4 linked regions of the Lepisosteus oculatus genome follow. The protein of the gene in region 3 interacts with the protein of the main gene of each other region in a pairwise test. Links are inferred from orthologs where the notes say so. Each region holds a gene or a part of one and is shown on either strand. Other genes may lie near its edges.

Evidence for each region.
Region 1: the proteins of atpaf2 (region 3) and sorbin and SH3 domain-containing protein 2 interact in binary tests that used the Homo sapiens proteins (3 or more experiments, as listed by UniProt). The two-hybrid records come from large-scale screens. The link is inferred for Lepisosteus oculatus from reciprocal best matches to the Homo sapiens genes ATPAF2 and SORBS2.
Region 2: the proteins of atpaf2 (region 3) and trim23 interact in binary tests that used the Homo sapiens proteins (3 or more experiments, as listed by UniProt). The two-hybrid records come from large-scale screens. The link is inferred for Lepisosteus oculatus from reciprocal best matches to the Homo sapiens genes ATPAF2 and TRIM23.
Region 4: the proteins of atpaf2 (region 3) and rpia interact in binary tests that used the Homo sapiens proteins (3 or more experiments, as listed by UniProt). The two-hybrid records come from large-scale screens. The link is inferred for Lepisosteus oculatus from reciprocal best matches to the Homo sapiens genes ATPAF2 and RPIA.

The regions. Positions count from the first base shown.
Region 1 is NC_090696.1:75,801,837-75,808,816, forward strand, and holds the start of sorbin and SH3 domain-containing protein 2, read right to left. Parts: upstream 3,006-6,980; 5' UTR 2,549-3,005; exon of another isoform or gene 2,390-2,548; intron 1-2,389. UniProt on the Homo sapiens protein: Adapter protein that plays a role in the assembling of signaling complexes, being a link between ABL kinases and actin cytoskeleton. Can form complex with ABL1 and CBL, thus promoting ubiquitination and degradation of ABL1.
Region 2 is NC_090698.1:27,875,579-27,883,354, forward strand, and holds the start of trim23 (E3 ubiquitin-protein ligase TRIM23), read right to left. Parts: upstream 3,013-7,776; 5' UTR 2,824-3,012; coding exon 2,728-2,823; intron 1-2,727. Other genes in the region: trappc13 (trafficking protein particle complex subunit 13), read left to right, coding at 4,052-4,136, 6,575-6,643.
Region 3 is NC_090714.1:17,606,420-17,613,724, forward strand, and holds the start of atpaf2 (ATP synthase mitochondrial F1 complex assembly factor 2), read right to left. Parts: upstream 3,001-7,305; 5' UTR 2,765-3,000; coding exon 2,659-2,764; intron 2,428-2,658; coding exon 2,383-2,427; intron 2,052-2,382; coding exon 1,903-2,051; intron 1,558-1,902; coding exon 1,460-1,557; intron 1,120-1,459; coding exon 1,039-1,119; intron 600-1,038; coding exon 487-599; intron 195-486; coding exon 79-194; intron 1-78. Other genes in the region: gid4 (glucose-induced degradation protein 4 homolog), read left to right, coding at 3,474-3,662, 5,006-5,065, 5,824-5,931, 6,201-6,302, 6,841-6,971. UniProt on the Homo sapiens protein: Plays a role in the assembly of the F1 component of the mitochondrial ATP synthase (ATPase).
Region 4 is NC_090696.1:29,001,177-29,008,847, forward strand, and holds the start of rpia (ribose-5-phosphate isomerase), read right to left. Parts: upstream 3,001-7,671; 5' UTR 2,945-3,000; coding exon 2,756-2,944; intron 686-2,755; coding exon 625-685; intron 398-624; coding exon 342-397; intron 119-341; coding exon 59-118; intron 1-58. UniProt on the Homo sapiens protein: Catalyzes the reversible conversion of ribose-5-phosphate to ribulose 5-phosphate and participates in the first step of the non-oxidative branch of the pentose phosphate pathway.

The sequences.
Region 1 (6,980 bases), on a different chromosome or scaffold from region 3:
CGTGTGAAAACGTGAAAGCCGAGACGCTCGTGGACCTGACGCGACGTGGCCTCAAAAGACTGCCATATAAACAGCACCCGTCAGGACAAACGCCCTCAGGCCAGGGCCGGAGGCTCCTGACCCATATGACATCGGCGTGGAAATACAAAAAGCAGGTGGACAGCTGGAGTGGAGAAGACGGCACCAGCTCCTCCCGTCGCTGGTGAAGACAGCGCACAGAATAGCAGCATGGCTTGGTTACAAGCTCACAGCACAAAGCTGTGATCACTGACATGCTTATTGTGTCGATGACAGCAAAGCATCTTTGACATATGGATAATTTGAGAAGCTTTGTGCAGATCTCAGAGAACAGCACTTGAGACTTGGCAATTTCTGTAAATACTGCTAAAGCAAATGCACTTTTAGTGGCTCATAAAAATAACATTTGCTTTAAGTCTTTACAGTTCCAGTGATTGTGTAAAAACCTGTTTCTATTGTTAATTATTTGTGCATTGCAAACCATTGTGCCACATTGAGCATCAGTACAGTACATTGTGAGCATCAAAAATACTGATAAATTTTATTGTTTGATATGTAAGCTATATACTGTATATAAGCTTTACCATATAACTTACATGTTAAATTAAGTTAGTAAGGCAAAAAATCCCATTGGTACATTATGATTTTAAGAAATGAAGGGAATTTAAGAATTTCTATGATATAGTTCAAGTGACTGATTAGAGATGCCCGAGAACAAACTAATTATTCAGCAATTAATCCCCCCCAACAATATCAGCAGCAAAAAGGCTATTTGTCTTGCATCAGTGCACAGACTGTATAGCAACCATAATCTAAGACCAATGCTGTTAAAACCAGTGACACGATACTATGAATGCAATTTTAAATGATACTACATTAAGGCAGCGTGCCAACATGATTACTACAGTGTCCTGTGCTACTGTCCTATCCTGTGCTTAAAGGTTAATACTTTTAAAGTGTGGCAACTCGGGGGGGTAGCGGCAAAATAAGTTGATTTGCTGTTTCTGGCATTCATTAACAGAGCTGCTAGTGCGAAATTATAATGCGATGCAATCCGATCACGTGATATAAACTGCTGAAAGGCTGCGATGAATCTACAGTACGTCATTGTTTTACAGTCGCTTTTAAATGAGAAACAAATACAAATTTCAAATAAGATTTCAGTTAAGGTGTGAAAAGTGTCAACACAGATTAAATCGTGGTGGGGGGGAGCAACCTGCAAATGCCTTTATTAAAATTTAGTTTACTTTTATAACTCCGAAAACGCATTACAATTTGGAAACGATCACCTAATTTCAACGCTTAAAAGAAAAAAAAAACTCCGGAAAGCAACTGAATATGCCTGAACAGACAGTAATGAACATCTAGCATATCCTTTGCAATTTTAATCATGAAATCAGGATTCATGGTTTTAAGGTGACGCGTTCCGTTTCCTCTGGCAAATTAAGTTTTTAAAAGCATTTCCTGTCAATCCACAAGGCTCGATACAAAATATAGTTCTCTGGGAATAAGCACGGTCTCTATTTATACACATAAATCTATCTATACACTATACACATAAACAGCGGAGTGTTCGACGATTACTGTGGAAGTGACCTACAGTCAGCTCAAACCTGACTGTATAAACACAATCGGGTTGATGAAAACCGGTTTATTACAACTCCCTCCGTCAATGTGCCACTGGAAACGACGCGGGCATGGCGAGATAATGACCTCTAATCAGCCTCCGATCAAAGTGCTTCACATGAATGCCACGGCCGAACTCTCCCGTTTCCCCGACGTGTATCGGACTTCAAAACCCCCCCGATCTCCAAGCGCCGATTGAAGACACCACCGCGAACAGCAGCCCCGACAATGAAGGCTTTTGATTGCGGTCCCAGTCATTTGCCTGGCGGAGACAATAACTACAGCGCAATGTAAAGCGGAACTCGGCGAAAAGCTGTCGCGTTGAAACCCAAACTCTTATTATTCGAGTATTTGTAAATAAATAAGTAAAAATAAATAATGCATGTCCAGCACCGCTCACTTGAAATAACACCGGGCCGTTAAATGCCTTTATTTTGCCTTCTTGTTTTTGCAACATTACATACTGTATGGCTTCAGCCTCCTCTATGTTTTTTTTTTCCTTTATAATGCGCCGGCTGGTGATTGACAAACGGCAGGCTACTGTATCCGTTTATATGATGATCCATTATAACAGTAAGCATGTAACAAAGGCAGCAGCCTATTTTTAAAAGGTAGCTGAAGGCGCACGGCGGGGGTGTGGGGGGGGAGATATCTAACCCACAAAGGTGAAATCTGGTTGAATCCCACCATCCAGAAAGGGATTCGCAGGCAGACGAGGACGCATCTGGGCTACCTTGTCCCTTACCTAGCGCCGGGTTATCCCAGGAAAATCGGCTTGCTTGCGTTTCGGGAGTCAAGGGGACCCAGCGCACTTGCGGCAAAGTGAGGTGAGGTCCATGCAAACTCGCGGTAGCGGGGACTGCAGTCCACTCCTCACGCCGGAGCCCGGGCGACAATCACACACCTGCTTCTCCCGGTGGCGTCGGTCCGACAGAGGCTCCTCCGAGACTGTGGGCGCAGGGAAACACACCCCCCACCGGATTTGGGATGCACTCGCTCCTCTCCTGCGGGGTGGACGGCGGTCCGCTAAAATTGCATTGCAGCAGTAACGCCGTCTCTTCACAGGGAGACAAAACACGGCTTGCAAGGTGCTTGGCAGAGCAGGAGATAACGCAGAGTCACGTTACTATTCTGCATCCTACATGCCAGTATAGGGTCCAGACGCTAGCTGCCGCCGGGTAGTCAGGGTGGCAGCACAGTAACAACATGCTCAGCGCCCGCGATCATCCGCCGTCGTGCTCCCCTCAGCCCTTGGTTTCCAGTGAATAAATTATTTTATTCCAGTATAAAAGGGGGGAATATTGCCACACCGCGCTCCCATAATAAGCAAGATGGCTGGTGCCTCCAGTGGCGCTGCGGACCTGCTCATTGGCTTCAATCGGGGGGGGGGGGGGTTCGTAGTCATGGAAACGACCAACAAGTTCAATTTGTGCCGTGGGCCTGGCTGAGCGTGTAGGGGGTCAACGCGGAGAATAGCGCAGAAACCCGGCGTTTTGTAACACTAAACACTTCCTTGTGCCGGCTTAGTTATTTTCTTCTAGTTTTGTGTAATGTAACAGACGTGATTCCGGGTAATTCATTACCCAGATAAGGTAGCTTGGTAGCTGCTGTTCGGGCAGTTCAAGCTGGGACGCTGTCTTGCGATAAGCTGTACCAATCAAGGGGGGTGTTTTACGCTTGGTACTTTTAATATGTGTGAAATGCTATAAAACATGAAATTAAAAAAAACTACACAAGGTTTCTTTCAGCATATACAATAGCAGTGCCCTTTTTTCAGGCATTAAAAAGTAATAATGCCCGGGGACGTCAAGAAAACGGGTTTTATTTTGGAACAAGTTTGTATACAGTTGTGTATTTTCAGCTTAATTTTGCCTGAGAGAACCACATATTTTTCATCAGAGCCTATTGCAACACCTGATTTCCATTTCATTTCATTGAAAGTGGATGAAATCGATAGGTCAATACTCGCATCATAGTGCTGATGAATTTGTAGGCAGTAGGGAGCTGCGTCAGCACGCACGGGCTGGGAAGAAACACGCTTAAAGTAAAAGAAAATATTTCGTTTATTGAACACTAAAATTCGTTTAGTCTTCCTAAACTGAAAAGATTGTACTAAAATAAATTATTGTTCTTCCTTCTACGGTAATGAATCGGAATTCATTGTTTTTTATAAAGCTATTACGGTACCACATGTACTGTACGCTGTAGATATAACCAGAGTATACATCTCAAATGTGTTTGTGACACATTTGTAGAGTGTAGAAGTATTTTGTATATACTGTACATACAGTAGTGCAAAATAGGTTGTGTAGAATTCAGCAGAATTCCTGAATACGCACAGCAATTGTGCAGCAAATATTTGTTTAGGACTGCTTTTAGTATGATAAGTTACAGATCTCTGAGTAACACCTCAAACAGATTCTAATGAATTATACTGGGGATGCTGGGGAACAAACAGTGTGCACTGGTACTAATGAAAGCCCCAGAAAAACTCTTGTGACAAAGAAGAGACAGTGCTTTTTCTTCCAAGTCTACCTTTCTCCTCAGTCCCCGGAACAAAACACAAATTCGTTCCATTATTGATAGGCAATGAAATGGCATGCCCTAAATAATCACAAAAAGACTCAGACATGTCCCTGCTGACCCCTAGCAGAAGGAGCTGCTCTGGCACCTTAATAAATAATGTACAGATCTGAAGGAATGAGTTCACTACCACTGTAACTCATGAATGACTTAACGTCTTTTCTCTCAATACACATCTAGAACTGGAGCACATACTGTACAGGTACAACATCTTTCAATGCTTTGACAATTTTGTCAGGGAGCGTACTGTAGCATGCACAGTGCAATGGCAGGGCTAGTATTTTCACTCTGCACTGATTGCAGTCAGCACATGATTTACTGATGTAATGCAATTAGTATGAAATTGTTAATGTTTCCTTGTTAATGTTTATATTGTTTTGTTTGTTTTTCAGTAAACTGCAATGTTCTTTTTTATCGTTAAAATAAAAAATGGTGAAATCTGTGCAATAAGCTTACCTGACATGATCTCAGACACTTTCAAAACGAGTCAGTGAAATACATTTGACTGACCCACCCTTCCTCAAATAAAAGAAAAGCCTTATGAAAAGCTGTTGGTTAAAAATAGCAAAGGTATGGCTTGGTGTAATCAATCGGCTTCACAGCGTTGTTATCCGTTTCTTTAAATAGAAATTGTTACAAAATCTATTTTCTTTTTTAAAATATTGTCAAGAAAACTTTGTTTGCCACATGATATATTTTTCACTGCCTTGCCCTTTGTCTTTGCAAAGTTCCCACCATTCACTTCTACAGCACAGATGAAGATTCCAGATTATCAAGCATGTGAGGTGACCTTTCTGGACTCTATTATTTTTCTCTGTGCTGTTGCTGTGCAATCTGAATTCGGAAACCTACTGCAATGATGAAGTGCCCTCTCAGGTTTGTTTTCTGCCCTGTTAACTGCGAATCTGCTCTCGGCAGGCATGTGGACCTTACACGAGACACTCAGGAATGTCAGCATGATGCTGGATATACTTAGGTGACTGGAGCATTCCCGGAGATCGACGTCCAGTGAAAATCTAGGACTCGACTGGCACCTCTCAATATGAACCATGTTGAATATGAGCCTCTTGTTGTTATTTTTGTAAGTCAATGCTGTTTGATGAGCCTAGGTCACAACAGCTTCTTTGCCTTTGCAGTGACCTGCTCCATAAAGAAGCCTGTGATTAGTACAACCGGCTAAAGATGAGGTCATGACTACAGTATATCTTTAATTATCTCATGTTCAACTATAAATACTGCCCAGCATCAGACTCCAGCAATTCGAACAGTACGTATTACAAGAAGTGATGTGATAAATGCTGCTAAAAAATAGCATTCTTATCTTTGACTTTCACATGCTCTTTACTTCCAAAAGGTTTAACATTCCAAGCATCTGATATTGTCACCTTATCTTAACATGTAGAACCAACTGCTTTCTTTCAAATGGAGTTAAAGCTATGTTGCCCCATAGTTTATGTTTCATTTTATTGCCTGATGAAATTATGTTCTAGTTTACTAAAGGGATTTACAATTTGGATTAACATTACCATATCGTTTTATTAGACCTTTCTTCACAGGGATTTACATTGCTTAACAACTACTGAATAATAGTAATTATTATTCAATTGTCAAGTTTCTGTCAATGTTTAGCAACTGGAATTAATTGCAGCACCTCTTTGTGTTGTGAAGTTGTGTACTACAATGGAGGTTTGTAGCTTGTGTCACATGAAGTGCCTAATGTTTTCTTAAACATTTAAAGAGGCTGATTTCAATTAAAGACTCTTATAATATGTGTGGCTACTTTCCCAGCAATTTACCAATTAATTGTGTTACCATTTAACAATTATCATATTACCATTGTGTTACCACGTAACAATTACCTCGTTACCATTGAGTTACCATCTCACAAGAGCAAGTTATTTGTTCTTTTACTCTGCTGTATATAGTGAGTGAGCTAGAGTGATTTTGATTTCTCAACTCAGAATAATTTCTATTCTGAATTCATACTCTCAGTTCCTGAGTATAAATTGTAATTCACAAACTGAATACAACTTGTTGTAAAAATGACTTGATTTAGTAAAAGTGAAATTAATAAAAGTTTGAAACGTATTTACTTAAAGCAAACAATCAATTTTTATTAAATTTAGTAAAAGTTAAAAATGTAGTAAAATATTTTTGCCTCAAATACCATAATTATTCACCCCCACACATTCACAAAAGACAGTGTAAAGAAAGTCACAAGTCCAGTCTTATCCTAAATTAAATAATCACAAGATTGGACACAGCAGGGTGTTGAGGGTCAAGTCTGAGAAATCCTGTGTTAGAAGAAAACCCAGTGTCCTAAACTTTCTCAAATAACACAGCCTGCACACTCTCTGATTACATGAATAAAGCCAGACCTTTGATCTTTAATCATAGGCAGACAACTCCAGTCCTCGAAGGCCAGAATCTAGCCAGTTTTCCAGTTCTCTTTACATTATTAACGGCTGAAGACCTTTGAAAAGTGTTAAACTGGTCCAATTAATCTAATGATCCGCTACATCAAGTCAATAAGAGCAGAAGTGGTAAGGAGACTTGCAGACACTGGAGTTGTTGAAACAGGGCTGCAAATGTTGGATAAAAAACCCAAAACGTCTTGAAAAATGTCCCATAGAATTCAAGATTAATGTCACGTGTATGCTCCCAAGAAATCTACAAAAGAAACTAGCGTTTATTAAGGTGCTTGTTTCCGCATTTGACACTTGAAAAATATCTGTGTCTAACATTCATCAATG
Region 2 (7,776 bases), on a different chromosome or scaffold from region 3:
AAAAAAAAAACAGAAAAAAAAGAAAAAAGAAAGGGGCAGATTGAATATATTGTGTAAATTATAAAAAGCCTTTGTCTGGGCCAAGATTTGAGCTCTTGGAGCTCAGCAATGTCATTTAATTATTTTCAAGAAGGATAATGGCTATTTGGACACTTTCAAGAAGTATATCTACAAATGAACAAAACTCTCTATGATTTAAAAGCAATGCTGCTCTCCACTCAGTCCTGGAAGGCAGATTTTATAGCTGCAGAAAAGAATCAAGATGTTGATGTGCAGGAACTATCATCAAGTAGGAGCAGTCTGGGCATCAGTGGCATGGGACCAACCTCCCACAAAGCCACACATGCATGCCTCTTTTTTCACTTAAAAAGATCTTTTTGCCAAAAAAAAAGTCAGAATCCAGCAAGTGATGTGGCTTATTGCTTGAACAGTTTTGTGGACCTTTATCTTTATTAGGAAAAATAGAAATAATATCTGAAAATGAGATAAGAGTTTTTCCATGAAAGATGTCTAGAATTGAATATTACTGGACTAACATGATCAAACACAGCCTGCACTAGCCGAGATGGAATGTCATCAAGGCCAGGAGAATTCTGCTTCTACATAGATTGAGACTGACTTCAGCTCCAGCAAAGCTTTAGGAGTATCCAAAAGCCCAAATTTTTCAGCTGTCGAACTTAACCAGGTCTGTGCAGGAGCATGAGGTACAGTATAGAGGTGTGTAATGACCTTAGAAGCTGGAAGCTCACGTTGTTTTACACTAAGTACAAATTGTTTTATAGGATGTTCACCATACTCATATTGAAGCGGTCTTATCATACATAATAGGAATTTGACTCTAATTTTAGTGAGGCTTTAAACTAAGTTTTAAAACTATTTAATATTTTACCTGAATGTTAAATTTTTGTTCTTTTCACCCCCAACTCTTAAAATGCAGTTTCTTAACTGTTCATTACATCTGTTTAAATTACACGGAAAAGTAATAGAATAGTCTCCTATTAAAACATTTGGTGTCTTATCATAGAGAATGAGGGTAAAAGAATGGTGTCTTAAAGAAGTCACGAAATATAGTGAGGTACAAGAATGGGAAACATACTGTATGAGTGTAATATATTGAAGGTTTCCAGTAATACACCTATGGAGGAGCAAAGATGACTGAACACAAAATCAATTCACAAAGGCATTTTATTACTAGATGAGGGGGAAAAAACTATTTTTAACAGTTTTTTTTTCACTGAGCAGAATTCTTGTGCAAATGTTTGAAAGCTTTTACAGGCAGGCAAAGAGAGGAGACAAGGGGACAAACACAGAGGAAATGTCCAGCACGGGGATACTCTCTACATGCATTCAAGTCTGGGACATTTTGAGGTTTAATGCTACCTGGAAATTCAAAAACATTAGGCAAAAAACTGATGGCTCAATACAACCCTTTTCATTTTATGTATTGCACAAGAATGAGCAGTATTATTATACTGTAGCTGACGAAATATATTAACATTAGCATATTTGAGAACAGTCCGTTAGAGTAAAGCAACTTGGATTTAATCAAATTGCGAGCAAAACGAGTTCTGAAGGAGATGTTTGCAATTCCTTATTTACTGCTCAAAGTATTTGTCTCTATGCTATTTCTGCCAGAAACGCCATGCAAATGCATCTTTACATGGTCATGCTCAAGGAGCAGGTTTAATTTCTGCAAACATAAAAAAATTAGACCATGAAAATTAACTTCATCCCAGTGTGGTTGGGTCATTCATTCACAAATTTTACAACTTTACTAGATTACAGTATTCAGTCAGACTTTCCCTATTTTAGATCTAGATAACTGTAAATTTATTTTTATGTAATGTCGGTATCGATATATTGCTTGTTTGTGGGTAAGCAAGATTCTTCTGTTGCTACTAAAAAGAAAGCTGCACAATTGATATCAGACATCTGAATTAATGATAATAACATTAGAGACACAAAATAATGGATGCAGTTACCAAAAATAAAAACAATTAATTTAGCCATCTGCACGCATAGACTTAAAATCAGGGTTATTAACATTTTTATGCAATATTGAAGTAATAAGAAAACTGGCCAATGAAGTGTGTGCGATACACAAAACTCAATTTTTAAGTGACTACGTCTCGGTCAAATATGTGATCTTAAGTATAACCACAAACAAAAACAATGATTTACATGCGCACAGGAAGTGCAATTTGTCTATATTTTGAAACATGCAATTGTATTCAAGTACAGCCTTTTCTTTGATGCGTACGCCAACGCAGGCGAGCAAGCCTGCTCTAAACCCGCTGGAAATTTCCAGACTTAGTTACAAGTCTAAGCAAGCCAAAGAACGCTTTCCTCTTTGCAACACAGGCGTTTCTGTGCCACACAAATTGCAAGTCCCTTGTCATGAGATCTTGGTCATACTGCACTTACATAACAAATAACGCATGATTAATATATTTTTCTGAATTAAACTGCAGTGTGCAAACTGAGTTAAAGGGTTACGTAAAAGACAATGGGAACATCGCATTTTCAGAGGCTGTCATCAGCACCAAAGAAGCTGGTGCAGCTACATTAGCAACACAGCATCCGAGCCACGACAGCAGCGACCGCCCAACTCGCTCTCTCTCGCCAACACTGTCAACCACGGTCACCGGCAATGCACCCCTCTCTGCGGGCGTCGCAATAGGTTTTCTTTTTCGGTCACTGACCGTTTTGAGCATCGGCTTCACTCACCTTCACCGTGCCTCCTGCAGCCGCCCGGCCGTGTCGAACACAGCTCTCCATTGCCGCTGCAGATGCCTGCTTGTTTACACCTACAGCAGCAGCCATCCTCGGGCTCTACCACCAGCCCAGCCGCTCCTAGGTGGGTCCGATTGCACGTAGGCAGAATGGCATCGAGATAAAAATGCTTATATGCACTGTAATAGGAAAATAAAAACTCAAATTATAGTTCTAAAAGCAGTCTTTTTAATCTCCTCGACATATGTGTGTAAAGTAACAACCGAGTTCCTATTTAAAACTTCCACCTTCCCCCGAATAAGCAAAATGGACGTTCCTGTCAGCTGTTTCCGTCAGCTTCCAGAAAGCTGCAGGTGCGATTGCGCGTTGAAGAGGTTCGGTGAAGGAAGTTTTTGTGTAGCAGAAGAGGAGGCTTTGAAGGCGGAATCTTTGACTTTGAAAGAATTTTAAGATTTTTTTAGTCGAGTTTATGTGTTTTTTCTTAAGCATTTTAATTATTTTCAGCCGGAAAATACTGTATTTTATTTCTCCCTTATGTTTAAGAGCCAATTTTCGAGTAATGTGTTAAGAAGTAAGTTTTGATGCAGTAATAATGCAAAAGAAGGGTGAAAGTGTCACAGTGAAAAAAATAAATATACACTTTATGGTGCACACACTTTTTTCGTTTGAATTCAGAATACATTTTCCCATTAAACAATTTGAATTTTCTTATATGATTTTATTTGCTCTCTTTAACGTCACTTTTACATTCTCAATTGCCATGTGTACAATGAGCCATTGTAATCCTTATATAATGATATTGCACTTTTTTGTAGCTTGGATGTTCTAATGTTAAATTCCAATTTCAAGACCACTTCAACTATATCAAACTCCATCTAGCCAGTCAATTTTAATACGGTCTATGGTGATAAGGTCCCTTTGCATTCACCATGAGCATGGTAAACAGCTGTTAAGTCATTAATATACAGTATGTATACAACATGGAAAAAAGTTATGAAAAGCTAATACCTTTGTAGTTTTTTGTTTCCAAACGTGTAACTTGATTCCATGCATGAAACAGTGCATTATCTCTAAATGAAAGGCGATAACGATTCCTTCAATTATTTTTGCTAATTACATGCTTCTATATTAACATTAAATGAGAGTTTGTTCTCTTTTTCATAAGGGCACAGAATTTGCTGACGTCGTGAACCCCAGTACCCTGTGTGCGTGTTAATGAAGCTCCGCCGGGAGACACTAAAACCCCAATTAAAAAAAAAGGAAAAAGAAACGCGTCCGCACTGTTTGTTCCTATTTGCTCTCCGTACACTATTCTGCAATGCAGGTGAAGGTTCACAGGTTCACGCAGACAGGGAAGATGGATGTCAACCAGGCCAAACAAGAGCATTTGCTGGCTTTAAAAGGTAATATTTTCGGGTTTTTTTATTGACATTGAAACAAACAATTGTATGATCTATATTTTTATGCGTCCAAGGAGTGAGTTTAATTATTATGGTTAATTTGACTAGAACTTTATTACGGCCCCAACATAAATCCGCAATCGGTTTTCCGTCCGTAAACAGATAGCCAAGACAATTGCCTTTATTTAAAACAACCATGTATGAGTTTATAATATTTTGCCTTGTTTGATGTCAAGTCTTATGTCTCTGAAAATATATGTGTATTGTCCGAAAGTCTAATGGACTAATGTGTCTCGCATGGTTAGAGTCGTACAAAGTCCCGAGAAGTTTTTTTTTCTAAACGCCAAACATTGTTTTAAGTCAAATCTAAAATAAATATGCCCTCTGCGTTAATGATACTATGGGTCAGACATAGTATATGTGGAACAAATTCTTCATTATAAAAAAAAGGACGAGAGGGATGACTTTTCATTTTTTTGCAGGTGATGCGCAGTTAGCTGTTAACGGGATATATGATTTGATGCGTAAGTTGTTAGGGAGCTGGTCATTCGCGGTGACTCAAGGATGGAGGCTTCGGCTGCTTTACTGTGATTGTTACCTGATCTTTTCACACCTTCACCATAATTCCGCTTCAGGTATTCTCAGCTGCCCCGCACTGGAAACTGGAAACCGACCAATGTGACAGATTTCTTGGTGTCCTTGAAATCCATAAGGATCGTCAGTTAAAGAAACACCGAAACCAAGTTCGGTAATTGCGTTCCGTGGAAGAGCTAGTGATAGTATGGATGTAGTCTTGCATTACAAGAATCGTCAAGGTAACCTACATGATGTGTTGGAAATAGCCGAAAGGGCATTGGAAGATTTTCCCTGTGCTCCTTTGCCAAGATTTGTACCCTGGTTCCCAGATGATGCCAGCAAGCTACCGCTGAAACCCACAACGCGCCCACCAGTTATCTCGCCAGAGGAGGTGGAACAAATCAGGTGTCAGCTGAGCTCTTCAGCTCCTTTGGCGACTTCTCAAAGCTATGACTGCACAGAAGACCTGCTGGAGTTCTGCACGGGTTTTAAGAGGGCGAGAGCTCAAAGGGGCAAGGAGAGGGCGCTGTCTCTGCGCACAGGTTCGCCAAACTCCGCAGCAAGTGTTTCGAAAGAAGGAGGAGGGTTTAGAAGGTCATGGAGTGTTTCTCTTCCTGGGAGACTTCAGGAAGTTCTGCCTTTCTCCAGACAGCTCCAGGAAATATTGGAAGGCCTCCAGATCCACTCACTGCAGAGGGCCAAGTGGATAATTGAGGAATCGAACTGCCTCAGAAAAGACATGGAATGGGTTTGGACTGTCCTGAGCAGGGCAGTGAGACATTCCAAACTTCCTTCTTGCAACGCAAATTTTCAACGAGATGTGGGGCAGATTTGGGTTTTCTGTGATATTTTGTATAGTGAATATATCGGAAAGTTTATGAAACAACAGTTGAACTTAACCGGTGAAATTAATTTAGTAGTTCATAAACATGGAACCATTTTTAGCATGTAGTCTTGATGGAAAATGAATGAAAAATTTTTAATACTATGAACTGATTTCTAACACAATAGATGTTTTTCACCTATTTATTGTAATTATTTTTTTGTTAGACTTGAAAAAATAAACTCATCTCTAAATGCCACCCAATGTCCTGTATTAATACAAAGTAAAAATGTATCAAGAGAAATTCCATACAATTGAAAAGCAGCATGACAGAGTTGGGTCTTTTGCACTTTCTGAATATGAAACAATGGGGAAAAAATGGGAATCTTTGTGAACTGAATATTTCAATGCCAGTGATTACAATTGATATTTCAAGAAGAAGGAATATATATAGAGAGAGAGCTACGTGAGAGCTTCACCATGTTTTATTATTGTGTGTGAGAGAATTTTGTATTAAAGAGACAGTTTAGCTGAAGTTTGTACAAGGTTGCCTCTTCCACTTAAGCCGGAAAAACAGATTTGGATATTTGTGTCCACTAGTGTCTGCAACCTTAAGCTTAATATTGAATAAAACAAAAGGGAAAAACAGCAGAACATTTCACTATGGCATCACCGGTCTCCAAACGGGTGTGTGGTGAAACACTGAAATTACTGTGTTGGTCAGAGACATGCTGCATTTGGCATGTCATTAAAGACTTGTCTCCTCTCTACAGAAACAGCTGTGAACTCTTAAGAGTATTAGAGAGAACATAAAGAATGTGCATTGGCATAATTCAAAATTATTTCATGGTACAGTGGTCAAAATAATACAGACATAAAGCAAATTAATTGGAAGAGTTGCATCTCTTAATTGTTCTAAAGTTGTTCCCATGTGCATTCCATTCTCTTAGGTGTGATACTAGACCAGGCTTTCAGAGAAGCACCATTAATAAAGGTGACAGATCACTCGCAAGTTAATCTGATAATGCCTGTTCTCTTGCAGTGATGCGATTGACAAAACCAACGCTTTTCACAAACACACCGGTGACATGTGAGGACCGAGATCTGCCAGGTACGCAACCCTGACTGAACAAACTGCACTGTACACACAGTACTGAAGGAGTGAGGAGGAAGGTTGGAGGCATTTCAATAAAATTACTTATGAGTTGTCTTTTAAAGGGGAACCGCAGTCCCAGTTTCTCAGACAAGTTATTAAATCTTGGTAAAAGAATAAATTAATTGACGGTTGGCGATCAAAAAAAGTTTACAAATTTCGAATTAAGCACAAAATCATGAATTTTGTAAACTGCTGTAAATCACCAGGGTGTTGCAAACTTGCATTTGAGTTTCCAAGGATTGTGATATGGTGCGGCCCTTCCTGCTCCCTAGTCTCCGTCATGACTAATTTAATGTGATGTACAAGCAAATAAGTACAGGTACAGGTTCCAACATGATCTGCATGCAGGGTTAGCAAGTAATTAGTATTTGGTAAGCAAAACTCTCAAAGGTGAGTACAGAAATTTTTATTGTATTAAAAGAGATGTATTCACAAGTCCGTTTGTTTACAAATTCCTAATACAAGAAATTGTATATGGCCAATAAAGTAATCTTACAGTGTCGTATGGCTGGAATGCGTTACCGTTGCGTCATTCTGAATCGCAGAGCTTTTATGTGATGTAAATCGAAGGCTTTACAAGTTACTGAGTACATAATACATTTATTGTGGTTTGAATACATTCATCAATGTGGATTCTTTCTGACTCCAAAATATAAAACTAGCTTTACAGTTCCCCTTTAACAGTCACAGTTACCTGTGACAAAGGTAAAAAACGGTAATAGAAAGGTGTCTTGTGTGATTCTTCTCCAAGATTCCCTGATAATCTCAAAGATCTGACTTCTTTTTAAGAAGGATTATTATTGAATTTCTCAGAATGTAGTGCAGTGTTCCATAGAGTAATAATATACTGCAAGATAGGAGATCTCCTCTTCGTTTGTCCAGGCCTGTCAGAATATCAGGGTTACAAAGTTACCATACCCAACAAACAGGATCTACACACAGGCAGTTGCATCCATCCTTCCGAAAACAAAACTGAATGCATCCATGTGATCCCGGAATAAGTACAGTGATCTTCATGGCCACATAGAATGGTGCCACAGCTGGAGTGTTCCCAAGCAGGACACTCCACTTCAATAAAACTTTGAAGG
Region 3 (7,305 bases):
ATATGTATATGAACCACAGAGTGGTGCTATGCTGTTCGACAAGGATTCTTTAAGGCTGTGTCAGGACAGCACACACACCTGGTACTCCTCCTCTAGACGGGACAGCAGCACAGCCTTCTCTACAGTCAGATGTCTGTCAATCAGCCCAAAAGACAACACCAGAGACTTGAGCTGCGCGATCACAAACTCTAGCCCTGAGGGACAAAGCACAAAGTTCAGACAGGGTGGACGGGCACAGGAATGATCACTTCCTGAACGGATTTAAAAACTACAATTACGCTTTCTCCCCAGCTACAGGAGTTTTAGACACGCACACGCAAATTATTGCAAGTGTTCTACCTTTTTTTAAAGAAAACAAGGATCTATGACAATGTGTACCTGCTTCTCATACTAAATGATTGCATGTAATTCGACCGACAGATGTTGGGTGTTTTCAGCGGTGACTGGTTTTACACAGACAGACTGTGGCAGCGCTCCCAGCCGTACCTATCAGAGCCCAAAAGTTGTAGGAGGCCAGGTGCTGTCGGAAAGTGGCCTTCGTCTCCTTAGGGATCAAAGGGCCCATAATGCTGGAGGAGGAGCCGATCACAACATTATACCTGTGAGGAAAACAATCAGTAACGAGCTCAGGTCTGTGGTGGTAATCAGGTGTCAGGACAGCACACATACACATATGAAAGGTGTCAGTGACACAGCTAATTGATGGACAGTTTTCAGAATACAACCACCGTCCTGTGAAGTCCTGCTGTATTCTAGTTTAAAAGGTGTCAAAATGATTGGCTAATCATTAGCAAATGATAAATTCCTGTAGGAGAATTCTGGAATGCTATCAAAGCTAGAAAACAATGTAGTTCTCCAGAAGCTGGGTTAAAGACCGCTGCTGTATCTGTTATGCAATTAAAACAAATCCACGGTTGCCTCATCAAAATCTAGTTATGTTTATTTCTATTCTAAAACTAGTTACAAACCTGCCCTGACCCTGCACTGTATGCTCTAATGTTCTTCACTCCTGAGCTCTGCAGCTCTTTCTAGACTTGCCTCTTTTCAATCCAGTCCAGTACGGGGTCCCACTCGTTGTTCTGCAGCTCCACCAGCCCTGGGGGCTCCTCCACCCTATAGCTGCCCGGAGGCAGAAAGAAACCAGTGAAACAACCATCACCCGCAGCTCAGGAGCCAGCCCCTGTCACAGGGATCTGAACACAAACACTAGGCAGCAAAGTAAGAGTCTGAAGTCTGCGCCAGATTGCTCCCTTGACACAGTAAAGCAAAACAACGGAAATGACCATGAACACAGACAGCTGGCAAAAGAGTGGTTTCAAGGGAAGAGGAAAGGGACCCTAATTACAGGCTCAGATAAATTTCTTCCACCCCAAGCCTGCCTTTTGACTGGCACAGCCTGTGCCCACCCCATGGTGCCGAGTGCCAGGGAAAGTGCGCAGCTCGGCCACTCCCGACTCACCAGACGGTGTCGGTCTCCAGGAACTTGAGCGCGGCTGTGATCACCTGCTCCTTGTTCCTCTGAGTGGGGTTGTCCAGAGCCGTGTTGCACAGTGTGGTCTGGGAGAGACAGAGCGGGGCCTGTTACCTCAGCCCTTCAACATCTCAAGAGAAACTTCCAGAGATTCGGGTTCCTGAATGCTGGAATATTGTCCTAATTAGAATTAAGAGTTTATTCCCTTTGGAATAAACCAGAATGGTTCCTTTCGGGGATTTCTTTGGCTTCCGATCATACAAAAGAACCCAGTGGAAACTAAATGAGTACACAAGTGGCTGATGGTTTTCTGACTCCAGAGGTTAATACGCAAATCCCGGCAGGCAGTGGCCACAGTGGGGGATACACCCTGGACAGGACTCTCAGGACACAGGCCCCACACGCTGCCCGCTGCGAGCTGAGGTTCCTACCAGGTGCATCGTGTAGAACTTGAGAGTGTCCTTCTGGGAATCCCACTCCGTCGCCACGGCAACTGCCAAGACTTCGCTGGGCACTGTGAACAACTTCCCTCCCGGGGTCTTCAGCTTCCCGCGGTCCAGGTTTATCTCAAACAGCCCACCTGCAGGCGCAGGAGACCGGGCGCTGAACAGCACGGCACATCACTCAGCCTGAGCCGATCCGGACCTCGTCTGCACATTCCTCACCACAGCGGAGCACTGAGACACTGTTTCACACACTTATCCACTTGCAGAACAATACAAAATACAAGACAAATACAGCTCTGCTGGAGACGGGCAAGATCAGCCAAACGGCTTGCTGTCGTTTCTTTCTTTCTTTTTTAGTTTTTATTGAATCGTCATAAATACAAAAAGGAGACACAATATTAAAACAAAACTGTTATCTGTTACAGTCTACCTCAGGAAAAAAACAGGATGTGTTTCATACCGCACCTTGTCCTTGTGAAATACTGACGTCCTGGTAGAACTTCTTCCTCCCTGTGGATACAAGCAAATACGAATATCTGATTGAACCGGGCAATTAAAAACAGAGAGAATGTATTTTCATGATCTAACCTAGAGACGTCACCATGGTTGTGTAAGAACGGAACACAAGAATACATTTGCCGCATTACGGGCATCCAGCTTGTTGTGCAATTACATCGGAATCAGCGATTGACTAACAAAGCGACACGAGTTCCCACACGCCGGGCAGAACCCGGCTCTTACCCGGGGTCGCAGTAGAGTATGCCGGCGAGCTTGCAGCGACACAGCCGCACGGTGACTGGACAGCGGTGCCGCCTCTCCTGCACAACCGGGCCAGACCCCGCAACATCTCTCTGACAGATTCTTCTTATTTCGGGAATCACGACCTCAAATCGATTTCATGCGCTTTTGCAGGGTAACCAAAGCATTAAAGCATGTCATAGGGACTTATGACACTTGATTAAATTATGCATTATCACACTGCATTATCGAATCCTAGTTACCCGGCAATCAATACACATATATTTTAATGGTGTTTTTGGACGTGTTCCCCTTTAAAGAATCGCATTCCCAGGGTCAGTCATAACCTGCTCAACCGCATGGGCGCCGCCATGTCAGTGACCTCAAGCGCGTCACTGCTCCTCGGACACGCTCTCCAATGGCCGCTGGGAAACCTGAGGAACGGGGCGGAAACAGTCCGAAGGTCACTGAGGTGGGTTATGGGAGGTGGAGTTCGACTGCGGGAGAACGGAGGAAAAACTACAGATCGGGGCTAGAAGACCTACAAGTCCCAAAATGCATTTCAGAAGGCCATCCAATGAGCGGCGGTTTCTTTGCCAGGTGCGCTCCCCTGGCCAATAGGCTGGCGGGATGTTGCTGCGTGGTGCTGCGTTGAGGTCCCTACTGTTTGCTGGGACCCTGGTAGCGCATCTCTCGGCGGCTGGGGAGAATTCGTGAGTCGGTGAGCCGCCTCGACAGTTCTCCCCCTGTCCCCTTTTTGTTACCGTCTCTGTGGCGTACGTCGGCCATAGCTGGGGCGACCTTCAGACGTGATAAACATGCCGGTCCGGACCGAGTGCTGCAGTACCGCCTGTGCGGCCTTTATAGCCTCGGCCTCGCTTATCCCGCCTCCCCCAATCAACACGCAGCAGCCGGGTGTCGCCACCTCGCTCCTGTACAGCGGCTCCAAGTTCCGCGGACACCAGAAGAGCAAAGGGAATTCGTACGATGTCGAGGTTGTTTTGCAGGTAAGTAAGAAACGAAGAGTATTTATACCGGAGCCTAGTGTCATCGACTAACATACAATCTGGCCAGTAAAACGACGTAATATTATCATAGACGTATTAATATCACTGGGGAGGTGATTAACTAAAAACTTGTAGACGCGTTTCTCAGTTGAGATCAATCTCACATTAAGTTGTGTTGAAATCGTTCTTATCCCTGTGGTGTTATCGAGGTGGATTGTGGTGTTTTTGTTTTCAATCTTTCACTGTTTCAGTTTTATTGAGAACTTCTTCTTAGCTCGAACAGCCCCAGTAAAAAGTCGACTGTAGCAATTTCTAACCTCCTAGGACTGTGTTGTTTGACTTAAAATAATTTATAAGTGTTAAATACAACAATATTGGAGGTTCTAAGGCTTATGCTTTTCAGGTTAGGCTTGGTACCAAAAGCACAACAGTCACTGAAGACATCCAGATCCTCAGTTGCCCTCTTCATAGTCGTCACAGCAGCCAGACCTGCGCTGTAAATGACGTGATCCTTGTCACATACAAAGTGTACCTCGGACTGTGAGAGTTTTATAGGAGGTTAAAATGAACTCTGTGAAACTGGTCCAGCAAAGGTGCTTGTATTTTGCCCGGCAATGATGTGGCATTTCAGTCACATTACCTACTTGAACTACTTTAATAATAGCTGCGTCAGCTCAGCATGCGTAGGCTGCAAAGGAACAGGTAAAGGTTTATTCCATGCTGAAGAGGAAGAAAAGAAACACAACGTTTCGGCTGTGCAGCCTTTTTCAGGTGTCACCCGAAGAAGGCTCCACGGCCGAAACATTGTTTCTTTTCTTCGGTTTTCAGCGGGGAATAAACCTTTACCTGTTTGCATTATTATTATTAAAGCTCACCATTCCTCTACAACATGCGCACATGATATTGCAACACATCAATTTGTGAAATGTGTGCTGCTGAAGGTAAATTATACACTTTTCTTCTTGTGCAGTCACTCTCAGAGGAAGGGTTTTTAGTGTCGGAAGCTGGGTTAATTAAAATTGTCTCAAGTGTCACACTTGGCTTAGAAAAACTGGATTTTTAGCCTCAATTACAAAGTAGGTCTGCAGAAGCAGCAGGGGCTGCAGTGAGGGCCTGTCATTCCTTGCCTCACTAGGTATGTAGGTTCTGAGCACCAGTAATTAGACTCCGATGGAAGTTGGAACTGTTGGAGCCCCGATGATTCACATTGAAACAGTGTTTGACTCATGCTTCAAATATTTAAAAACAATGCCGCTGTTTAGTCAGGTAGTTCAAATCTGAGACCGTGTTGTAATGCTCCGAACTGGCTGTCATGACGATATTGTCATTTTTTGCCTTGACAGCACGTTACGATGGAAGACTCGTACTTGTGCGGGTACCTTAAGATCAAAGGACTGACAGAGGTGAGATTCAGACAGCTGTGGCTCACGGGAGTGTTGTGGTGTTCAGTTTGAAGGGAGATTTACACCTGCCGAGCTGGTACCTTCACGTTTCTGCTTCCTTTGTTGTCGCTTGTGCCAGTTCTCTGGTTTTCTCTTTTTCACAGTTGATAAGTATTTCTGGCGGGTTAAGGTTGCATTTCTGCGTCATCTGGAACTTGCAGCCTTGGTTATATTTATTCAGTAGCAGCAGTTGTTCTCATTCAGACTTCTGCCATACAGGGTTTTACTCAGATCTGATTGATGTGCAGTTCCTTTCACTGGGGCTCCATTTTTACGGTGACTTTTTTTGCTGTTAAACATACCTCACCTGTCGGTGGGGTGGTTCAGAGGAAGAGCTGCTGTTCCAGGAGGGGCTGTGTTCTGTGAGCATCAGTAGCCCATAGAGGAGAGTATTGGCTGCTATATGAGGGGTGCTGGTATTAAGATCGAGGTGAAGTTTTGGAAGGCTAAATGAATATGGACTTGGCTGATCCATTACTGGGGCAATATCCAGTGTGCTGAACTAATATTTGGAAGTTGGTTGGGAGATTCTGAGTTCAGCTATTAGTGGATTGTTGCTTTATAAGATGCCCCTTCATCACAAAACAAATTGTTTAAGCATATTTGTAGCTAAACCCCATTGCTCATTGACAACCCGTCTTTGACCTGAAAGACATAAGACAACAGCTGTTTCTTTTTTCCCCATCAGTTGTCTTTTTTACTTTTATTTTTCCTCACAGGAGTACCCAACACTTACTACATTCTTCGCTGGAGAAATCATCAGCAAGAAACGCCCCTTTTTAACACGGAAATGGGATGCAGACGAAGATGTTGATCGCAAACATTGGGTATAAACAAAGATCCCCTGCTCAAATCAATTTAGAGTCTTAGTTCTGTATCAAGTCCAGTACAGCTGAGTTTTGTGATAAATGTAAATGACTGGTTCACTAATTAGATTTTTTGACAAATAGATGAACTACTGTAGTGTGCTGCACAAGCAAACCTGCATGCAAAATACCACATTTCTCACTTTCAATAAATATAATTTTAACTTGTGCAGCTTGCTGGGAACAATGTTGTATTTTTTTTTTCAAAACTATTTTTTCTCTCTCCTCAGGGCAAGTTCCAAGCTTTTTATCAGTATGCAAAAACATTTAACTCTGATGATTTTGATTATGAAGAGCTGAAAAACAGTGACTATGTCTTCATGAGGTGGAAGGTGAGACCGTTTATTTAAAGTTGTTTCTTTGGGATTGTTTTTTATTATAAGTTATTTGCTTTGGAAAAGCAGTAGCATTTTCCTTTTAGTTTTCAAGTAGTTTTCAAGCAGTAAAGATAGAATAAAAAGCTGAAACCAAGCAGGATGTCTTCTCAAACATTTGAGCTATGCCGATTGCAAAACTGAATTTAGTTTTTAAATACAAAATGTACTTCAAGTAAGGTTTTTTGTGACCAGGTTAGGATTTTTCGGTCAGAAATGAAAGAATGTGTTGCTGTTCTCAAACATGTATAAGTATTGTTGCAGGGATAATAATCAGAAGGTACTGTTTCCGATGCACTGATCTGCCTCCTTATTGATAATTCAGAAGAAATGGTTTACTGTTGTACGGTCCACACAATATGATGGGATTTGTAAACTCTGTCACCTGGGAATGACAACTTGGAAGGTCTTTCAGAGTTGCAAAGACATGTGCAGTTTTCCTTCCCTGTGTCCAGTGCTCTTAATTCTCTTATTATCTGTTCTCACCCTCCCACAGGAGCAGTTTTTAGTCCCAGATCACACAATCAAGGACATCAGTGGTGCTTCCTTTGCAGGGTTTTATTACATCTGCTTTCAGAAATCCACAGCTACCATTGAGGGCTATTACTATCACAGAAGTTCAGAATGGTAGGAATGAAACCTGACGTTTTTCTCCGTCACGTTCACATTGTCGTTTACGAGCGAGACCTCTCCGTAAAGTATTCTTAACTTGCTTCTGAGTTGGTTGTTTTAAAAGGGTGTTGTGATAGTGAACTGAATTTGCTGTTCAGATGACATTCTGGGAAAAGAAACATTAAAGAAAGCAGTGGACTTTGATTTTCCCTGCGAAGAACATGCAGGATTGCAGTAACCTCAGTCAGTGCTTACTCTTCTGCCAGGTACTGTGTAGATTTTAGTGCATCTAATTTCTCAGATGGTTTTGTGGGAGTGGTATGTCCACATGTCGCTGTTTCCCAGGAAG
Region 4 (7,671 bases), on a different chromosome or scaffold from region 3:
TAGGATTCTCTTTGGTTCCTGCTGTGGTGCAGCTGTCCCCCATCACTGTGAAAAGTACCTCAGGGTGCCGGTCAAGGTCAGTCAGGGTCAAACCATTCTGTAGAATCAGCTGACGGGCCTGAAAACAGGAGAGAGAAAAGAGTTGACAGAGCTAGGGGAACCCCATCTCCAGGTGCATCCAGGTCCATCTACACACAAGGCTGCACAGAGCACAAACTTACAACTTGTTAACTTCATAGGCAATTATCTAATGCAGTGGTTCTCCAACTATGGTACTATGGAATTCACACTTTCGCTGAACTCGCTCCCTCTCTTCATGACGGGCAGGCCGACACACTGACCTGGAAGGATGTTGGGACACAGACGATGTTCAGCTTCTCCTGTCGCACTCTTTCCGCTGGAAAACACACAAGCAGAGTATCTGTCAGCATCCTGAGACTGGCCCTTACAGGTTCCCACCAGAACTGAGCAACACCAGCATTTAACTACTGCCCAGCCAGGAAAAGGACAAAGAAGAAGAACCGTCTGCTCCAAGCCACGTGTGTGCAGCTGGAATCTTCCTGCTTCAGACAACAGGGGGAAGGTACCAGGAGGTGAAGGAAAAAAGGAGAGAGGGACACTCACCCAGCCTGTCCACAGCGTAGACGACAGTGGTGCCACTGCCCACACCAACAGCATGGTTGTTCTGAGGGTTAAGAGCAACAAGAGGAAAGGTCACGTGCTTCTTGCTCCTCTTGGTGCCTTTCTGATCTAAAGCATGTCCTGAAGTGTGGACACACCAGCTCACTAACTGCATCAGAGCTCCAGACAAGCAGACGGCAGCTGTTTAAAGAAGAGGTCTCCTCTGGCCTGCACAGGGTCTCACAATCACACCTGTACTTCTATCTCAGTCACACGGCTGGATTTCCTGTCTCAGTCCAGCTGCAGATGAAGAAAGTTCGGAGACAAGATCTTCCAGGGGGCAGCATCTACCTGCACCACTAACTACTGGGCACGACAGAGAGGGGCCGACTCTTCAAGGGGGGGAGGTGACTACGTGCAACTGCTGTCTTTATTCATTTCCTTTCACATTCAGAGCTGTAAAACCTTTTCCCCTTTGCAACAGCCCCTTCTACCTCCACTGTACACTATGCTGCAGCCCCATCTCACCAGGGCTCAGGAGCCCAGCAGGGCTTGGCCTGGTCAGTACTGGGATAGGAGACCTCTGCGGAAAATCAGGTTAAAAAGATGAAGAAAATACAGATTTTAAATGAGGAGAGGCCATTTGGCCCATCGAGCTTGTTTGTTGATTAGGTGCTCACGATCTATGAATGCTGCTGTAAGTGGTGTCGGTGGACCAGTAGGTGGAACCTCTTTGGTGACTGGGAACAATGCACTTCAGTGGTGAATGAATAGGGTCCCCTCCTAGGTAAAGCACTTTGAGATGAAACATGCTATATAAATGCCAAAATTATTATTATTATTATTATTATTATTATTATTATTATTATTATTAACATTTGCATTAAGTGGCTCTTGCATTGCATCTGTCTGTATGTCTAGTAATCAAAAACAGGAAGAACTGTTGTGGGTAAAACTGACCACAAATGTTGCCCCACAACAGTGTGTTTACAGCATCCAATTCACACCCAGTCTGAGACACTCTCTGATAACAGAGCTCCCATGCAGGCCTTTGGAAGAGTGAATCTGTCAACACCTCGCTTTTCCCACTCGGATGACGCATATTATCCGTATTTATTGCAAACGCACAGTTTATGGATTCTCTCTTGTAGCAGTATGTTACTGATCAGTGATAACATTCACAAACATGACATTTGGTCCCCAAAATCGTCTATTAAGTAACTTGACTTGCGCTTGAAAATGCATCCCTGTGACAAAAACAGCAATGCAGTATTGGTAGGACATTGGGCGGCTTGCAGAAATGACCGAGCTCTGCAGTAATCGGCTACAAGGTTTCGACGAAAACCAGGTACCGCGCGCACGAGAGCGTGTATTCTGCTGCTGCTGACCGCAGGGAAGAGTCCCAGCTGCGTCAGGGTCTGCAGCTCAGCTGACACCTGCCCTCGGACCAGGGGCTCCTGCGGGCCAGAACACGTGCTCTTTCAAAACACAAGTACGGGGCTAAAAGACAATATACTGCCTTTTTTTTTTGCAAACTCCCACTGCAACAGAAGGGAAAAAAAACTGTATTTGCTTTCTGCAAACACTGCATAGTTGCGAAACCTGCTGCTGCTGTACACTGATCAACTTTACGGGTCAGGCATCTGGAGGGTAAGCTAATCACCCTGTTAAACTACGGAATCATGTTGTTAACTGCTAAATGAGGGTTAAAGACTGAAACCTAATTTGGAACGGAAGACCAGGTTGTACGTGATCAAGAAGCTTACTCATGAAGTTTAATATATGAACAAAACTAGCATACGAAATTTTATTGACACGAGGGAGACTCCAATAACGAGCTTTCTTCACCATGACGAGGCACAATAGGTTCAATGCAGCAGATATAATTCTGAGCCCTCAAGCTGAGCCGACGTCTTGTGACTCAGGAGGGGGGTTAATTTAATTATACAGTGATCAATCCTGCACAACCACCCCGTGCAACAGCTCTGTGCAAAGAGCGCCGCTGCTAAACCTCGGGTATGTAGCTCTGCTAAGTGCTGTGCACTTCATTAAAACACAGCGCACGTCCCTCCTGCAGCGATCTGTCAATTAGAAGAAATGCACAGGTATTACCGGAGTCATTCATAGTCTTTACCTGCACGTGATTGTCCACGGCAGCATAGCCGGCCAGCTTCTTTGCATTTTCAGCCATGGTTCTCCTCCCGCAGCAGAAGCGCCTACACGAAAACACGTGTCCCTCGGCGAATATCTTCCTGCCAAGACTCCCCGGCCTCCCCAGAAAGCCAGCTGCGAGAGTCTCACAGATTTCCCTTTGTAACCTCATAATCCAGCCCCCTTGCCTCGCCGGCCTCCACTACCTCAGGAAGTCGTGCAAAAAAAAAAATCGGCAGTTGTCTGCAACGCAACCCGAGCCGGTAATAGTAGTTTTTTAAATTTGCTGAACGGTCGAGTTACGAGTGGGTTGGTCCCAATGTGAACTACACTTCCCAAAATGCAGTGCATACCGGTCGCACGGTGTTCATATTTAACTCTTTTGTACAGAGTCAAATGTTGCTTGTATGAGTGTACGCGAACAGTTTGCGTATTTTGAAGTCTGTAAATTGAGATTTACGGGTTTGCTGCATTCAGCTTGAATGGAATTGATTAAGCAAATTAAAAAAAAACCTAGACGTCCTCTATAAAAAAGTAGGTTCCAAAAAATGCCAAGAACTTTACGGAGAGTGTGGCTCACTCTCTCCATTATGAATTTACACTACTCCTATCTGTGTCCCCAGGGGTAATGGAAACTCTAGCAGGAAATCTTTCATTCTATATGCAATTGCTTTCTAAAACATGTAAAACAAATCTTATCTCCTATAACACTGTTCTACTATATTATTTGTTGGAGACGTTTGTTGTTTTTCCAGTACTATTGTGTTGCACCATAGAGACATTGATTCATCATGTAAGGTGGTGTATAGAACTAGGAAAGAGTGGTAACAATTGTTAATCCTTAAACCTACAGTACGTTATCAAGGAAAAAAAAACTAAATGTGAAACTTTCCAGGGGTCACAGAAAATAGCCAACATTCTTCAGACCATTTTATTGTTGCCGGTAATGTTATTGTCAGTAAGATGCACAGCGTTTATTACAGGCATAGCAGGCAAAACAAGAAAAACACTCTTTCCAAAATATCCAGATATTCTTAAAATGCAATAAAATGACTGGAGTGGGTCGGAACAGAACCCATCTCCACAGGATGGGGGTGCATGGAGAGGCAGAGCAATAAAGAGTCAATAAACCTGTTTGTGAAGCCTCCACGTCTCAGAAACTCAGTTTACTAATAATTTATAAAATTATCTAAAGTTCCAGGTTTTTATATTCTAATATATAAGAAAAGAATAAAGACCAAGAAACACCCATGCTGAGTTATAATAGCGTTGTAAACATATCCTGGTCTAATCACAGCCCAGAACAGAGACACGGGGAAGGGAGGTTTGTTCAGTGAGTTCAGCCGGAGGGGTGCTGATGGACTGACTGGTCAGATGGAGTTCTTGCACAGAACACACAGCCAGTGCCAGGCAGTGCAGTGCTGGTGTTCAGGGGTCACAGCCCCTGCTCCTGAGACTCCTGCCTGTGTCCCCCTCCAGCTTAGAAACTCAAGCCCTCAATACATACCTTGCCTGGATAGATGTGCTTGGCATCATCATCATCATCATCATCATCATTGTCATCATCATTATTTTTGTTATTATGTTTGTGTGTGTGTCCATCTGAAATTAGGACAGCATTATTTTTACTATTTTTAGCAGACTGGTTAGCCAGCTTCCACGTATTGTCTCCCAGTGTCTCAGGTCTGGGCAACAGTACAGCTAATGCAAATGTCATCACAGTTTTACTTAAAGTACTTACTATAACAAACTCATGATGCAATTGTTGAGCTACTTATTTGACTGATATAGTATTTATTTAATAATGTGTATATACATGATGTGTATATACATAACATATAGGCACTAAGATTAAATGAAATAATTAGTCATCATACTGTATGTTCATGGTACTTTCTTATCTGTGACAGTACAGCATCTATTCAGTGACCCAGCACACAGGAGCTGGGAGCTCAGCCTGGTCTGCTGTCCTGGTCCAGTCTGATCTCAAAGACCATGGACTCCTGTGCTGTTACACTGACCTGTCTCAACCTGTGTGTCCAAGCCTGTAACCACACAGAAACTGCAAAGACACACAGCCCAGCCTGGTGCTGGCGCCCACTCCTGGCCTGGTACAGGCACAGCAGTGAGACTGTCACTGATTGAAGATGTTTCATTATGTTTTCTTCTGAGGTGTTTATGTATACAATCTGTATTTTCAGAATAAACATGTATATTATAAATATAGGTTATATGATTTAAATGTGTGAGGGACTGTCCATAGCACGCTAGAGGGTCTGGTGGGGCAAGTAAATTAACCAGATCAGCTGACTGGCCTGCTTGCTTAAGAAAAATTGCAAACCATTCAGCCCATTTGGCAGTCTTTCAGCTGGTCTTATGCTGATGAAAAATGCTTTGTTTTGTGGGGCAAAGCCTTACTGCAATTTAAGTAACATCTTAAATTTTCCAAATAAATTCTCGTGAGTTTTCATTACTAATCCGCTGAGCGCACTCCTGTGAGTGTCTGCAGCCAAAGTGGGTTGGAGTTGCACAGACTGTGCCACAGTAGCCTGTGAATGTTCAACTCCAGGGGTGACCGGGTTTAGAAAGCTTCCTGTCTCCAGCTCCCACACGTGATGGACAGCACCTGAGATCTGAGATCTGAGCACCTGAGGTTATGAACTAAATCCCCACCTCCACAGTGAGGAGGAAAACTGTGATGAAGAGCAAACTGCCAGCACTTTACAGAGGAACAAGTAATAGGTTTATTCCATGCTGAAAAAAAGAAGAAAGAGAACACCACGTTTCGGCCGTGGAGCCTTCTTCAGGTGTGAAGGTGTGACACCTGAAGAAGGCTCCACGGCCGAAACGTTGTGTTCTCTTTCTTCTTTTTTTCAGCATGGAATAAACCTATTACTTGTTCCTTTGCAGCCTACGCATGCTGACGCAGCTACCCACCTGAACTACTAGCACTTTACAGAGTTCAGGATAGCCTAATAAGAATACAAGGCACTACTAGAAATCCATATGCAAACCAAAGCCATTGCATGAAGCAGAGAATGAGGGTCCTTCATCTTGTCCCAGTAATGTCCAGCACAGATGATCTGTCATGCAGACACTGTCCCTCCACCCTGGGGTGAGTGCATGGGAAAGCTGATTAGGCTACACCGTCACATCAGTACTCAACATGCAAAGATTATAGCATATTGTGAGGAGGACTATAAAAACCAGCATGGGGGCTAAAACTGTACAGTATATGCTACAGTAGAGTTACCATGCTTTTCTGTTGCACATGCAGTGTGTTAAGTAGTGAATATTTAAAGGAGAACTGCAATCCCTAATTCTCAGATCGGTTATTAAACCTTGGTAACAAAATAACGTCATTGACGTTGTAGAAAAATATCACAAATTTCGAAATAAGCATGAACTTTGTGAAAGTACTACAAGTTGTCATGTTGTTGCCGACTTGCATTTGATTGCCCATGAATTGCAACGTGAAGTGGTCCTTCCTGCTCACCAGTCTCCGTAATGACTAATGTGATGTTATGTATGAGCGACATGTTGTTGTGCAGCAGACATTTCACTGCGGAGTGTTCCAATGTGTTCTGCATGTGGAGTTAACTAGTAGTATTGGTCTACAATGGAGAGCGATATTTCTATTGGATTAGAAGAGATGTATTCACAAGTTTGCTTGTTTACAATGCTCTTCAGAAGTTACTCTATACATTTTACTTTTATTGTGATGAAATTAACTCATCAGTGCTTTACTGAAATACTGTATAAAACAGCCTTGCAGTTCCCCTTTAACCCCATCCCTGTTACTGTAGTCTAAGTGCTGCGAGCACAGTCAGACCATGAGCCTGGAAGACTGCATCCTCCTGGTTTTGGAGGTTTTAAGCAGGAGGAATCACAGCGGTAACTGGCATGTGGCGGCCAAAGGTTTAAAACAATGTTGCCTTCAGACCCTAAAACCAGCAGTGTACAGTACAGCAAAATCACCATTTCTGGACATGTGGGATTCAAAAGGGTCTTGCTTCACAGTAACTGGCTCTTCGTATGTGTTGCACTAAACCGCCTCTGCTCATTGCGCTTAATGCGCACGACCTCTTATGAAAATATGGCAAAGACCTAGCTGATCATGTGACAATTGCAATTTACATTCAGCTGTACATGTGGCATCATGTCTGCTCTCTGACAGTGCTGTCAGTGAGGAAGTGACAAGCTGCCCTGCAGTGCCAGGGATCTGCTTTCAATCTCTCAATTGGACTGGTCTTCTTTCCAAAATTAAAATGCAGTTCATTTATTCGGAGTGATCTGTTCTGAAAAATCATTAAAAAACTGCTGTGTGTAAGCGTCATATAAAATCCTTGTATGGACACCACTCTGTACCCTTCCTATACTGTATATAGTGGTGCAGTATCAATGAGTGCACATCAAATACCCACCAGACTCCTGTGCAGTCTCACTCTACAGCCAGCCCACTTGCATCAGGATCACAAAAGGCACCAAGACCACGGCCCACCCTGGAGCAGTCGGGGCAGCAGCAACAGTATCTGTCAGTGTACAGGTACCGGTTAGGACAGGGGACAGAGACCTCTGATTTTTCACACCACACAAGCAAGGCAAAACACTAAACAGAGTTCAGATCAGGGGAGATTCCTGGCAAATTCAATCTAATGTGATCACATGGACAAACACAACTATTACAGATAGGCAGAAAAAGAAAAAAAGTGAAATATCAAATGGGTGGGACTGAACTAGAAGGAGCTATGCAGTGGAAAGTGTATTTTTGACTTTCCACTTTCTTCACCCAGTGTGGGAAGCAATTAGAACCCAACAAAATGCAACAATTTATAGCGTAAAGTATACTATAGCGATAAGGTTTATTCCATGCTGAAAAGAGAAGAAGAGAAACACAAC